Lonchura striata: one gene and its partner. The protein of the gene in region 2 purifies or fractionates together with the protein of the main gene of each other region. This does not show direct contact. Links are inferred from orthologs where the notes say so. Each region holds a gene or a part of one and is shown on either strand. Other genes may lie near its edges.

Region 1 (7,497 bases), on a different chromosome or scaffold from region 2:
TCCTGCAAATTTTATTTTACCGATATGTTCTGAGAGGAAAAGCAATTGTATCTCACCTCTGGCATGGCTGTACTTCAATAGCAGCAAAGCGAATTCTTTAGCAACTTGGAACTTTTTAGGGATCTTTTGATATCATAAATGTTACTGAAATCCAAGTTTATAAGTTTTGCAAAGAAGGCCTACATTGTTTCACATGAAAAAGCTTTATTTATAGTTTTGACTTGTTTTACTAAACACCAGTAGTGTGTTCAGTAGCTCATAACCCCCGACAACACATAGCGTCTCAAAGCATTGTTAGTACCACAGGCTACTTCATCCATCTCCTTCCTCCCCCAAACAGTATCCCTTCAATAAACAGAATATTCATGCTCATATCTAGGGCATATCTTTAATGAAATGGGTAGGCTTTCTTTCCTTTTCAGATGAAGGACTGTTCTGTGTAATTCAATTAATAAAATAAGGTATCTGCCTTGAGGGACAGGTGCTAAACTGCAGAGGGCATTGTTATAGCTGAAAGTGACTGGAAGTGTGTTCTCACAATCTTTAAAAGCTCGTGAAGTTTGCATCAGTATTGATTTTGTACTCTTCTGAAATCCTCCACTGTTAACAACTTACCTAGTAAATGGCATGTCCTATACATATGAGATAACTTCAAAAAATGAGTGCAATGGGATCTAAGAAACTATGTTCAGCTTCTAATGGAGAGAAGAGGGATCAGCTCCATGTGACTCACAGTTCACAGAAAATGAAAGTTTTTATTTCATTCATGCAAACTCAAACCTCTATTTGAGCAACAATATTTAAAACTTATACCTAATTTCCAGCCTTTTAGTCATTCATTGTGACTGGGAACATTAACAAAGAGCGCTGCTGTCATTTGTACTGATGGTATCAAAAGTAATTGATCCAACAGGCAGAACTATAGCACAGTGCCTGATTTTCTACTTGGTATGGAAAAATAACTTACTGGTAGCTCCCTAAACTTCAGACTCCATGCAAAGAAAGGTCACTGAAAGTCACTACTAGTGACACTTTAAGATGGCATTTTAACTAGAAGAATTGGTCCTATATTCACCCCATACCCTAGATATTCTTCTTTGACCTTACCCTTCCCTTTCTTCCAGCATGAGAAACCTTTCTGTAAACTGTATCAGTAAACCAATGTAGTTTAAAACTAAATACTGAATATATTTTTTCCACATTAATTTTAATGCAGGTCAGATCCACAGACCACTTCAAATGGCACGATAACACAAGGAAGCCTGTACAGGGACAGAACTCAGCAATAGGCACACAGAACTCCTGTGCTCAACAGCAGCACTGGCTTTGAATTGTAACACAAAGTCAGAGTTGTGTAACAGTGTCACAAGTCTGCACTGAGCAGGATAGGCCAGCTTTTCCCATCTCTGGCCATGCATTTTTGCTGCTTACTGATACCGCTAGCAGTACTTCTATGCTACACAGTTGAGTATACCAAAGTAGCTCCCTACGTCCTCAAAAAAGCAACAACAAACCCCCTAAAAAAACCAATCTCAAAATTAAAACTGGAGCTAGCTCACTGCAAGGCTGCTGGAGCACTACTACCAGCACAAGGAGGCAGTGGGAACATGCGACTAGCCGTGGGCAGGACTGCCGCAGTCTAGATTTAGATTGGATTAAACTACTCTGTAGTCACACCCCGGGTTGCCTGCTGCTGGAATAAATAACTGCTTCTTATGTTATCTGTCTCGTATCCAGAACTCCTTGCAGTTAGAAAAACTGGCTCATTTTCCTGCTTCTCCTCCATAGGCATCAATATTTATCAGGGAATTTGCCAACTGTTCCTTGTCATTTACCCTTCTCCCTGCATCCAATGAGGAGGAAAAAACTCCCTCCCAACAGCCCTAAAAAAACCCCCCAAAAACCAACAAACCAAAAAACCCCAACCCAAATACCCCTGCTATTTAAATTAGTTATGATTAGTTATGCTGTACCTAAATTGCAGCTGGAACATAATTCAGCTCAAAGCTGACAATCCTGATCTTTAACAGGGACAGAATTAAAGGAAGAGATTAGTTATAGAGGTTGTTCTGAAAGTCTGAACACCTGTGAGTGCTATGCTGCTGGAGCTATGGCAATGACAAGTGGAATTTCATATTTGAGTAAAGACTTGTATACTGGATAATCACTGGGTACAGCTAATGTTGTAAAACAAACTTCTAAGTAAACAACAAATGAAACCTGCAGTTTATATTAAAATACTTGCTTAAAATCAGAAACATTTTGCTGATATAGGTAGTGGGAAGAAAAGGAGTAGTAATATGCATTTTCTTAGTCAAATGCCAAAAAAGCTCCAACACAAAGATTAGCAACATGTTTCTGCTGCAATCCCAGCTCACAGCTCACTAGTTTTCATACTAGTTTTCATACCGCCTCAAAAACCACCTTAAATTATGAAAGGTTTTAGCTAATCATGTGTATATGCACATTAATTCATAATACACTTTCCTATCTCCCATAGTTTCATGAGAGATGAGAACACAGGTGCCACCCAACCACAAGTACTCTACATATTTCTGCTCTCAAAACAGAATTTTCGATTGCTATATTTTCTAAGTTACACTGCCATCATCTCGGGAACTGGAAGTCTGTTGAGTTAATCATTTGTGAGATACTGAGAGCTCATTGAACTTTTTTGTGTTTTGTTTTTTCCCTTGTTTTTTTCTGAGTAGACACAATTCCTGCTTTGCCCGACGGCGGATGCGTCGTTAACACAGCAGGAGCCCCTCGTGGCACGGCAGCAGCGTTAGAGCTGGGCAGCCGCCGTGCGCTCAGGGCTCGGGACGGCGATTCCCGGGGCGCTGGGCTCCGCTCCCCCCGCCGCGCCGCCGCTGCCCGCGGGGGCAGCCGCCTCTTCCTGCTCCTGCGCTCGCCCGCCCGGGCCATCGCCTCCCGGCAGCGAGCCCGCTGATCCCGTCCCCCGATTCCCCGCTCCCGGAGCGCCTCCGCTCGCGAACGACGCGGCCCCGGCCCCGCTCCCGAGCCGGGCCGAGCGGGAAGCGGCAGCCCCGGGAGCGGGGGGCGGAAGCGCGGCCCGGCAGCCCCGGTCGGGATGCCCGGCTCGGGATGCCCTGGTGCGCCGTGCGGCCCCGGGCCGAGCGCCGCCGCTCCCGCGGGAGCGCCAGGAGCGCGTGGTTTCCAAAACGACTCAGACTTACGAGCGCCTCACGGAGCCCGCGGCCGCTCCCGGCAAGGGCGCTCGCTCCTGCCCGGGCGCCTTAACCCAGGAACCAGAAGCGACTTCCTGCCGTGCCTCTCCCCGCCCTGTGACGGGGCGCTGCCCGCGCCGGCCCCGGGTCGGGGCAGGGCAGGGCGGCGGCCGCCGGAGGTGCCGGGTTCGCGCGGGGACGGCGCCGTCCTTGTCCGCCCCGCGCGAGGATGGGAGCCGGTCCGCTCGCCTCTGCTGTCGGGCAGTGCCTCTTCTGCCTGGCTGCGGAAGACCGCTCAAGCAGCCTCTGTGCTGCTCCCGAAGTCCACAGCACTTTCCTATTTCTGTCTTTCCATGACTTAAGAGTGATTTGTAAATAACAGTAGTTACATTTGTATATAAAAGTATATTTACTTTTCATGCTCAGGGTAGTTCTCTCTGTTGTAGGTTACTACTGAGGCATTTCCCTGCCTGCGTTTATTTAATGTAGGCAATGAATACTATAGGTAAGATGATAGTGGAAACATACGGTTTTAATTTTGCTACTGCTACAAGCCCTTCTCTCTTTAGGTCACGTGTATAAATACAGCTTTTTTTTCCCTGAAGGTGTGTAGGAGGATGGGAGAACACGAGGCATTTGTACATACTTGCCCAGTATACCATCACAGAGCCAGCGGCAGAGAAGCACTGCAGATTTTCATTTAATCTCATCTGTCTCTGAACCCCAGTGAACATATGCATGCAGCCGAGCTGTGGTGTTTCTTCTAGGGCAGAGCTTTTTGGTTTGTTCACTCATGGATCAGAACTTGCATTCCACCTATTACAGCCTACCTACTACCCTGGGCAGCTGCCCTTGGAATCCTGAGGATTGAGCTCAAACATCGCCACAGAAATAGCTAGCTGTTGCTTTCTGTGCTCTTTTGAAGATTATTTATATTATAATTTATCTTTCCTGCAGAGACTTCAGCTTCTCTTTTGGTCTGTTTTGGCCTGTACTAAGGCTAAAGAGACTTACAGGCAGAGAGGTGAATGAGCCTATCAATATACTTCCTGTTTGGCCATTTTTAAGAACTTAAGGTGAGGTCCTAATGAATTATTAAGATTCAGAGAGAGTTTGCTCTTTTAACGTATTTCCAAGAAAGGGGAATTCAATTTCCTTTTTCAGAGACAGTGCTTGAGACGTCCAAGTTAAGGTTTCATTCAACGGGGTCTTAAAAAATAAATTAGGGTGTGGGCAAAAAAGGCTATTGTTTCTCTTTTAATTCTACATGTTACATTTTTAGTCAGTTTTGGCAAGTAGTTGTGCACTTAAAATTATAATGGATATCTCAGCTGAAACATAACCTGAATTTCTTAAATTCAGATGCAATATAATTTAACTTATGCTATATTTAAGAAGGGATAATATGCAGAAAAGCACAAGTGGGTGTTGTCTGGTGGTTAAGCATGCCTCAACTAAAATTATGGCTACCTGAATTCAAATAGCCAGAACATGTATACCACCTCTGAAATACTACCATTGCATGTTAGTTGTTTTAGGGGAAAAAATTGCTTATTTAATTCTTGGAACGTACTTAATGTAAATTTACTGTGAAGATCTCAATCTCAGCAACTCAATACTGACAACTGTCTACACACATGACTTTTCAAAGAACATGCATTAATGTCTTAGTGCTTTATCAGTAATATTCTTTCACAGTAATATTCTTTCTCATGGGAGAAGCTGGTTTTTCCTCTCTTTTCATTATTTAGTGCCTTCTTTCTTTAGATTTCTTCCCCCAATACAATAAGGTATATTTTACAACCTTTAAAGTAATCCATCTTGATAATCCTAGAGACCTCCAACCTTTGAATAAACTAAATTGAAGAAAAGAAAAATACCCATGAAAATAGTACAAAACCTCTATTTCATAGCTAAATTGATCTCTGATCTTTTAGAGTATTTTCTGCTTTGCTCAATTACTAAATTACTTTATGTCCTTTTCTTCTTAATCTTGCTTTCTTTTTCTTTGTTTTTTTACTTTCTCCTCTTTTGTCTCTGTGTTCCCTTCCCTACAGCTTTTCCAGGAACAGCTTTCTGTATTTCTACCCCACATCAATCTTTCACACTTTTATGTCATTGTCAAGGCATGATTGTTTTCCTGTATGTAGTCCACATAAGACAGCTGAAAGAAGAAGCACTTATCAGTGTATATAAAAATTATTTAGGATTTTAGGAATCTAGTTATCTTAAAAGCAGTTGCAAATCACTTATCTGGGCTTTGGGAGTGGTGGTGCAGGGCTTTCTGTTTTTAATATTTTATTTTACTTTGTGTTCAGAGTCAGAGAAAGTCTTACTTTGACTACTTATGTTTAGAAATTTAGAGTGGGGTGTTTTTTTGTTCTTGGTAGGGGATTTTGTTTGGATTTTTTTTGTTTGTTTTTTTTTTTTTTTCTTGGTGATTGGGAACTAGCAAGTTGATACTTTTTTTATTGTGAAAATTCAAGTTTGTGCTCAGTGGGTCAATCAGTGTATTTAAATACTTACATCATCTATATACAGTTTGCTTTTTTACATTACTTCTGAAATGGTATTTTAACAGTCTGTGCTGATGAGTTAACACTGTGCTCTTGGTTACACTGCGTGGGGCCCGGGGAGGAACTCACTGCTTTCGGGAGAGGCTGCTGCTGGAGCAGCTGGCAAAGGGCTGGAGTTCATCAAAGGTTTCATCTGATTCCTTTTTATGATTCTCTAAGCTTATAAATGCAAATTGGCTTCTACTAGAAAGAGGTTAAAATGTTTGTTGCAAGTTTTTAATGTAGCCATTCGTTCAGACGCTAGGTGGCTCACGTCAGATGTTAAACCTTTTCCAGAACTTTGAGACTGTGGTCCCAAAGGAGTGTGCGGGGTGCTGGAAGTCTCTGTTGCTCTGGGGTGTTTCACCGTTCTTTTAGTCTCTTGCTGCTTTAACAAAATAAAAAGCATGTTTTGATCTTGAAATGCCTTTCCTGGTCAGAAAATGAGAACTGTGGATTTAGACCAAATGTTGTCGTTTCATAGCGTGAAGGAAGTTGAGGCTGATTATTTTTTTCCCAACATCAAGAATAATAGTTGATGAGCCTATGTAAACCTTAGTATGTAATTTACCTATAGGTTGTAACAGACAAAATTAGTTTGTGGGTACCAGAAACTAAAGGATATTTAATCAAAATGCAGACAGATAGATTTGGAGCACTATAAACAACATAAAAGTAATGTCTTATACTTTTTCGATGTGTCTGAATGCTGAAGTTGATAAATCTAATTTTACTCATTAGAAAAGTGTAGGAACAAAAAGTTTGGATTTGCTTGTCTCATCTCTTTGGTAACAGTATAGGCAATCTTTATGTTGCCTGGAGGAGTATCAACAGGATTATGAAATGTGGTTTTGTGCTTATGACTAATATTAGCTGGGAACTTCCACTGAGAAATACCCAACTGAAGAACTTCCTTAAATGCAACAGCGTGCAGACAGTCATTCTTTGAAACAGAGACTTTAGCAGAGGCAGCCTGCAAACTGGTTTTGGACCCAGTGCAACATTTTTTATTTCTGTAAGTGATGTCAATGGTTTCTGGAAGATCCCTACCCTGGAGAAAGGCTAACCTGCATAAAAAAGGAGCAGTGCATGAACAGGCAACCCTGTATGCATGGGAATGGTTAACATACAACTGTTGGAACAAATAGAATACATACTTTTTAATATATTGTGAGGAAAAAACCTGTGATGATAATGACACCAAAAGAAACTACAACAGCTTTAGAAAACAAATGTTATTCCTCTGTATAGAATATAACCTGTGTTACATATAGAGGGAGTAAAAGACAAGGAGTGTAATGCTTCTTTGAGAAGAATAGCCAATCCACTGATTCTTAGTTAAGCTTCAAATGAACTTTATTAGACAGGCTCTTAAGCTCTGTTTTATTCTAATTGTGTCTCTCCCCACTTCCCCTCAAACTACTGAAATTGAGTTCTGTAGAACAATGTGGGGAAAACACCCTTGAAAAATTCATGTTCTAGCTTGAGTGCCTTTTTGCCATAGAGGCAAGTATTCGGGAAATTTAACATATAGTCATTAATTCCCTAGATCTGTCAATGTGAAAAAGTGAGATATTATGGTATCAACTACATTACATAGGTCTTTTTCCTTTGTTCCATGCTAAAATTTAATTAATTGATAGCTCATTTGTATAGAACTATATTATATACAATATCTAATATAAGAAAACAGGATTGATAAACAGAACCTTTGTACTATTTATTAAATGTTTTTTGATCCCAAGCCTCTATTT
Region 2 (7,994 bases):
CTGTAAGGAGAAAGCCTCCACTTGCTGAACACTTACATGCACCAGAGAGCTTTTTATGTTCTTGTGAATAGAATCACAGCTCAAAAAGCAGTGACATCATGATAAGGTTTTCTAAAGGAACAAGGAAACTGCTTGAACTTCTTGGATGCAGGGGCAGCATCAGCACTGCAAGAAATTCCAGTCTGCAAGGTCAGACTGAGGCAACTGGTACTGCTGTGCCATGAGCACACCAAAGAGAAACTGCAGAAGTGAGACAATGCAGGGGAAGCCAAAGCAGGGTCTGAAATACTGAACATACAGCCAGTAAGCACAGGAGGGTGAACTGCAGCAAAGACCCAAAGCATTGAGGAAAAACAAAGCATAGCAGAAAGCTCTTGCCCTGACATGGACACAAACAGATCAAGGACTTGTGACAGACCCAGACAAGAGTGTATCCAGCTTAGCCACTGACACCCTTATGGTGAGACTGAACCACCTTAGTCCACAGAAATATGAAAGAAATTCCTTTTAGAGAAAAGTGCTGGGACTGCTATGGATCTGACCAATGTCATGGCTTTGTATGGCTCATCCTGGTTATTTCAGCCTTACTTTGATTAAGAACAGGGCCCTGGGACTCTGCCCTCTGCATCAGAACACTTTTGGTTTTTACATCCTCCAAAAAGGCAAACTATGCAAAAACCAAAAACAAAACAACAACAACCCAAACAAAACAAACAAACAAAAACCCCACACCAAAAAAATACCTAAACAAAAAACCCCCAAAAAACAACAACAAAAAACCCCCACCAAAACCATCAGCACCACCACCATACCAACAAAGCAGGGAAAAATCTTACATTAGAAATAAATAGACCCCACTCTATTTTCCCTAGCTAAAGTAAATATTTTGATGTGTGTAAACAGAAACCAAGACTGAAAAAGTAATGTTTTGTTCCAAGTCAGAGCCTCAGTGCAGAGAGATGGCCACATATGTATATCACAGCAATGAGTTCATCCAGTTTTGGGAATCCTGGCAGCCCTCTGGCCAACCTCTCAGTGAGTTTGTCATTCCAGCAGTAAAATATGTCGAACATTGTCTCATCAGAACATCCAACACAGTGATGTATAGAGAGGATGTTTAGTCCTGCCCATGGAAGTACAAACATGCCTGCAGCTCATAATTATTGTTGATCTATGAGTCACAAAAGCACCAACATTTCAGTTGTTTAGCATGAAAATCAGATTTTTGGTCACACACAGAGCTCTCTGGCAGCATCTTATGTAGCAGGGAGTATATCAGATTATTTTGCAGGTTATTTTTCCCCCTCTTGCACTGCATGATCTACAGCAAAGGAATTTATTGGTGGGTTATTTTCAGCCTACAGCAGCCAGAGGATCACATATTAATTTCTAATAAGCTCTGTTTAGGTAAATTACCTCAAGACAATTCTAACTCTTTTTAAGTATCATTATGTCACAACTTACCCTCCAGGACAATTAGTGGTAACTTAAGACAATAGGGTAAACCACAGCTTGATTGGCTGAATGACATCTAGAGTTCACAAGTAAAAAATTACGATTTCTTACAAATTGAGCAGAGGTCACTATTTATAAAACGGCAGGACCCCTCCATTATGTTGTATACTCTTGTCCACGGATAATTACTCTTTTAAATACAAACGACTCACAAGACTTTCACCAATGCTACAGAAATAGAACTGCTACATTTAGATGAATTATCCTTACCCCAAACACATAACTCATGCTTAAAAATTAAAATTGAAATATATGTACATTTATGAACCTTTAATTAATCATACTGTTCACCGTTTTTATTTTCTGCTTTCCTAGAAGCAGCTTCACCTTTTGTTTCTAGGCAGTATCTAATCCCTTTTTTTCACGCATCTCACACATTATAATAAGTTGTGATGTGCACATAATTACTCATTCAAAACAGCTTTGTTAAGAGTTCTTTAACAAAATCTGAGGTTAAATTTTTCCCATATGGGTTTAATCACATCTATCCTGTAACACCCTACTGAGAAAAAGTTAAAGTGAACTTCACCTTATATTTAATGTTGAAACCAGTACAGTATGGAAAATAAAGTTTTTTTTCTTTATATTGTCATGCAGAGCATACCTGTTGTTCATACAATATTTAATAACCAATTATGATTGTGCAACCCAAAGAATAAGTGTGCCACAGCACAAACCAGCTGCTTTATCAGCAATCTGGGTAAGGGTGCAGGAAAGGCAATCCAGGAAAAGCCAGGTGCTAGAAACATGGCGAGATGTGACTCATTCTTTGGCAGCAGCTTCTTTGACTGAATTCCCAGGAATTCCTCTGCATTTCAGAAGTGACAAAAGGAAACAGTCATCGAAGGGCATTCCCAAGTACATGTGGGATTAGCTTCTTACTCAGCACTTACGTAGGTCAAATTTCCCTAAAGTCAGTGGTGTTTTCCTGGGGGAATGCTGGCTTCATCCAAGGCACCAGTAATACCAAATTTTCCATAAAATTAAGTACCATAAAATTAAGTAATGCTTAATTTTAAATAATTTACCATAAAATTAAGTAATGCTTAATTGTAATATACTAACACAATACTACAAAGGTAGCTATATTATAAAGGATTCGATTTGGCTGCTAACGAAATTCCCTGATGCTTGGTCTGAGGATATCACTGCCCTATCTGCAAACATGGGATGGCCAAATTTCCTTGTAGTTTGTGAATTAATTGGCAGGAAAACAAACAATTCTCCAGTACCATGGCTTTTTCATACATTTCTACAAAATATTTTGACAGCCAGCAAAAGCAGTCTTGCTCCAAATTCTTCAGTTAGCTCTGACTGCAACACAATAATGAAAATGTAACATGAAGCCTATGTGGTTTTTTCACTTTTCTTTCTAATGTACATGAAAATGACGGGAAAAGTACAGGTATTTTAAAGCAGGAACTTTCTTCACGGCAAAATCAGCATCTTAAGGATGTAGAATACCACTCTGTACGAGTAAAAACTAAAAAATTATATTCCCTCAACCTCCACACAGATTTTTCATTGTCCTAAATCCTTTGATACTTACAAAATTAGGTGAAATAGCAAATAAGCCAGGGACCTGTACCATAAACAAGTGCTTTACTCTTTTCTGTCACACAGGGGTCTCTGTGCAACAAGCTCCTATAAAAATCAGTTATATTTTTAGAAACAACTAAGCTAACAGACTGTTTTGAATTTATTACTCCCAATTCTTACTAGAATAATTAAGGTGACAAAGTAATGACTTTCCACCTCAAAAAACTTGATTAAATCACAGGATAATTCATTATAAGAGGAACTTCAGGAGGTCTTTATCCATCACCAGGGTGACTGACAGTCTCAACTTTGAAGTTCACCATCTTTTCCTTTCATCATGTTCCCATTCCTGTAAATTCTTCCACACAAATTAGTCTTTGCTCTCTTTTTATCCCGAGACCTGCCAACACAGGAGGCTGCTCTTTATCACATTGTCTAAAGTCTTTTCTTTTTGCTGCCTCCACCAGCAGCATGTGATGATTTCCACTTGCTGTATTTTAGGCACTTAGGCCAGACAAATCTCCCATGATTGTGCTGAACCTTAAGGCTGCACGCACACATGGAGCTCCATGTTGTACACATTATGATACACATGCATGCACATACATACAATAAATACTATTGCAAATCATAACCAAATGTAACCTGGGACTTATTCTTGTACTGGTTTAAGGCTCTTTCCTCCCACTTGGTTCCATCAGAAAGGCGACATGGACATAACTAAACCAATCCAAAAGACGCCTTCTTTCAGTCCAGCTTTCCATAGTCTATGAGTATGTACACCAGTGTTACTCCATGACAGGGATATTCTTGATTAACAAGCTCTGTTCTATGCTGCCAATAAAAAAGTCTTCCGCCACAGGGGCAGCCGGTGGGCAGCAGCTTATTCAGTGTGAAGCAGCTGATTTTGCTCTCATCAACTCATCCTCAGAGTACACGCACTGGTTGGTGATACGGATTTTGACGAATCTGAATTTTGGATTTTGGTGTCTTCGAGGTCTTTGCTAAGGAAAGACTCGTACACCTGGCCAGGTATGCGGCATGCGAGGGGGGACATGCTGCTCTGCCTGGGTCCGGAGCCATCCCCTCGCCAGCGATGCCGGCACAACACCAACAGAGGATTGCCAGAGAGAAGATATTGGCGTTTCTCCTCCTGCTGCCGCCGGGGCCGCTCGGGCAGACGGAGCGGGAGAGCGGAGAGCCCGAGGGTCGCCGCCAGCGGGGAAAGTCCCGCTCCGAGCCGGGAATTCCCGCAGCGGCGCCGGGAGGACGCGGCGCTCCGGGGCTTTCGCTCCGGAGCCAGCGCCGCCCGCCAGCCCCCGGGACCCTCCTGGCCCGCGCCGCCCCCCGGAGCCGCTGCCCGCGTTCCGCTCGCCCGGCCGGGATTCCCCTGCCCTCGGAGCCTCCCGCTCGCCCCCTCCCTCGCCCCCAGGTTTCTCCCCCCGCCCCCGGTGCCGGTTCTCCGGCTCGGCCCTGCCGGGGTTCCCCGGGCAGCGCTGCCCCCGGGGCCGTGTCCCGCTCTGGCCGCGGGGGAAACAGCTCCCTGCCCGCCCGGGGTTCTCCCCGGGGGCGGAGCGCCGCCCGGCCCGGCCCCGGCCGGAGAAAACAGCGGCGGCACGGGCGGGTCCTGCGAGCCCTTAAAGGGAGCGGCCGCCTCCTCCCCCGGCGGGGAAGGCGGAAGAGCGGAGCCGCTGCCTCGGTGCTGCTCCGCTGCGAGGTTTTATGCACCTGTCCGGGCTCCTGCTCGCCCTGGAGAAGGAACAGAAGGGAGCTGCCCCGGCCATGTGCTCGGTAAGCGAGGCCGGCAGCACAGACCCCTTGGTGACCCGCTTCAGGCAGGTGGAGGAGACGCTGGAGAAACTCCACCGGGAAAACAGGAGCTTGAAGAATAAAGTGCCTCGGTACAACGCGCTCTGCACCTTGTACCACGAGTCCGCGCAGCAGCTGAAGCACCTCCAGCTGCAGCTGGCGGCCAAGGAGGCGACGATCCGGGAGCTGCGGGGCAGCCTGGCCCGGCAGCGGCAGCCCGCGGCGCCGGGCGGGGATGCGGCGGCGGGCGCGGAGCCGGCCCGCTCGCTGGTGGAGAGCCTGCTGGAGCAGCTGGAGCAGGCCCGCGAGCAGCTGCGGGACAGCGAGCGGCTCTCGGCGCGGAGAGTGGAGGCGCTGAGCCAGGTAAAGCCGCGGGCGCGCAGGGAGCGGCGCAGCATCAGCGCCGCTTTCCGCGCTGCTCCCTCGGGAGCCGGGCACCGGGGCGGCTGCGGGCGGAGGGTGCGCCCGGAGCGCCCGCTGGGTGCTGCGAGCCAGCGCCGGCAGCGGGACGAGGGTTTGAGCCCCTTCGAGCGATGCCCGCTCCGGCCCCGGGGGCCCGAAACAACCGGCCCGTTTGTGTTCAAAGGGAGCGCCCCCTGCGTTCCCTTCAGAAAGGCAAACCATAAAATCTAAACCAAAAACTCAGCATCTTCATGCAACTGTTTTCAGAAGGAGAAAGAAAAACAGTAAAAAACTCGCTGAATTTATTAGATGCAACGATTTTGTTCTCAAAGATAAGGAGCCGATGCCACGAATTTTTCCGTTAAAGTGTTGTGCTTAAAGTGCTCTTAAAAATGGAATTTGTATTGACAATGAGGTAGCAGATTCATATTCGAAGAAGCAGCTGACAATTCTGGAGAGCTAGATTAGGGAAATCGGTGTCTTTCTTGAAAGAAAAAAACCTGAAAACTGAATCCCTCCAAATCCAGCACAAGTGCTGTTTTGGTTACTGTCATTAAGACTTCCCCAGGTTCAGTCTGAAATTCTCAAAGATTTTTAAAGTATGAAGTAATTTCAAAACTGACAGCAGTACTTAAAACTGAAACAAGCATTTTTGTCATAAGTAATCTCTTGACCTAAAGCTTATACAAAACATTTTCCATATATGACACTCACCTAAAATACATATTAAAAAGTTCATGTTTGGAAATTTGTTATAAGAGATGAGCTCACTGACACTTTGCAGACAGATGACAAACCTATGGTATCTGAACATATTTGAAAGCTGATGCTGAATATCTTTAAAGGGGAAGTTTAGCATTCAGCATGAAGCTAAAGAATGTAAATGCCAGTAATAAGAACAAGTGCTGTTTATCTATATCAGATGTTAATGTTCATGTCTTGAAAGAATAAAATGCTGTGCCCAATCAGAAGGCTGAAATAATTGGCACTAAATAATAACCAAATAAAGAAGATATTTGTGTGAAGCCAGAGGCCAGTGTGCTGGCAAATAGTGTTCCTAGTGATTTACAGCTCTATTAGCAGTCCTAAGAACTGGAATGATAGAGCTGGGATTGCAGCTGTCTCATGTCTGCACTTGCCTCCAGAGACCCTTGATTCTGGAGGAGCAGTGCTGCAGAGGTTTTGATAGCAGCACCTGCTGCTTCTTGAGGGTGTGTAAAAACCAGCTTGTTTGTGTACCAGGTCAGAACCAGTGCCTTTCAGGTGCATGGCACTACAGGTGGTTTGCACCAGTCACCAAGCAAACCCCTTCCTTCTCAGAACACCTGCAGAGATGTTAATGCAGTGTAGATGATCCCACAGAACTTCCAGTAGGACAAGGAGATGCAGAAACAAGATACACAGTTGATTCCTAGGGGAGTGTCAGACCCCCTCATGTACCTGGGAGGCAGCTGTGGCCAAACTAGAGCCACTGCTGCCACATGGATTTTATTTTCTGCTGGTTTGACCTTACCTTACCACTCCCATCCTTTCCTAGGTGGGAAAGTTGCTCTGTCTTGTCCTTGTGACAGTGCCAGGCAGTGAATACACTTCACTGGATTTGATTACTTTACAGTTCCTTTTTTTTCTTTTGAGGAAAATCTCTATTATCTGGTAGTTTAGTGTACAGGACCTGTAAGTATTTTTCAGTCTCCACATTTATTAATCTTAAATTACTTTGTTTCTTGTTTTTCTTACTGCTGTATAGTCATAAAATCTTCCTGAATTTTTGCTGCTTGTTCTCCATTCTACTGATTAGAAAGTGCTTGCATGGCTGCCTGAGCAGGTCTTCATTGATTGATCCAACAATTCCAAGGTCTTGTGATCATACAGAAATGAAATTGATTTAGTCTAGTTTTTAAGTACTTTGCAATGAATACAGGAGCTATAAGGAATTACTGCAATATTGAAGTCTGAGATAGATTTTGGCTTTTGACTTTATTTTGCTCTTAGATAACTTCCCCTCCCCCCTCTGTTTAGGAAGTGCAGAAGTTGAATCAGCAGCTAGAGGAGAAAAATGGAGAGATACAGCAGATGATAAATCAGCCTCCGTATGAAAAGGAGAGAGAAATCTTACGACTGCAGAAGACTTTGGCAGAGAGGGAGAAGGCTCAGGCCACCAGTGATGTTTTGTGCCGTTCACTCACTGATGAAACTCACCAACTTCAACGCAAATTAGCATCCACAGCAGAAATGTGTCAACATCTGGCAAAATGTCTAGAAGAGAAGCAAAGAAAAGAGAAGGGGAATTCAGATGACCAGATACCTACAGAAAGATCTAATCAGGTATTTATACAGCTACTGTGTGTGTCTTTAAAGTCTTATTAGCTTCTATGATGTTAATTAGAATATAATAGTTGTAACTGGGAAATGGCCCTTAAAATAATTTCATGCAGGGTGTTAAGACTGCCATGGCAATGGTAAATAATTCTGCATATCTGAAATTTAGGATGGTAGCAGTTGTTTACCACTTCAACTTTGGCCATCTCATCAACAGAGGCTTTTTTTTGGAGAGGAGAAGAACTTGAGAGGTTTTGTCCAGCCTCAGCAATTCCATGATCACAGTTCTTCCCTCAATACACAGGAGATAGTACCTACCTTATACCACCCCTGCTTCTGTGCAGCACTAGATGGTGCTGTGATTTTGAAGCTGATCTCTCCTGATAACTTGTTTAAGTATCAAAATCACA

What was found.
Region 1: the proteins of TNIP2 (region 2) and TANK purify together in Homo sapiens (affinity purification with mass spectrometry; 3 studies listed by BioGRID and IntAct, with this or other methods). This does not show direct contact. The link is inferred for Lonchura striata from reciprocal best matches to the Homo sapiens genes TNIP2 and TANK.

The regions. Positions count from the first base shown.
Region 1 is NC_134610.1:16,853,604-16,861,100, reverse strand, and holds the start of TANK (TRAF family member-associated NF-kappa-B activator), read right to left. Parts: upstream 3,302-7,497; 5' UTR 3,198-3,301; intron 1-3,197.
Region 2 is NC_134606.1:9,222,205-9,230,198, reverse strand, and holds the start of TNIP2 (TNFAIP3-interacting protein 2), read left to right. Parts: upstream 1-4,776; coding exon 4,777-5,226; intron 5,227-7,284; coding exon 7,285-7,590; intron 7,591-7,994. UniProt on the Homo sapiens protein: Inhibits NF-kappa-B activation by blocking the interaction of RIPK1 with its downstream effector NEMO/IKBKG.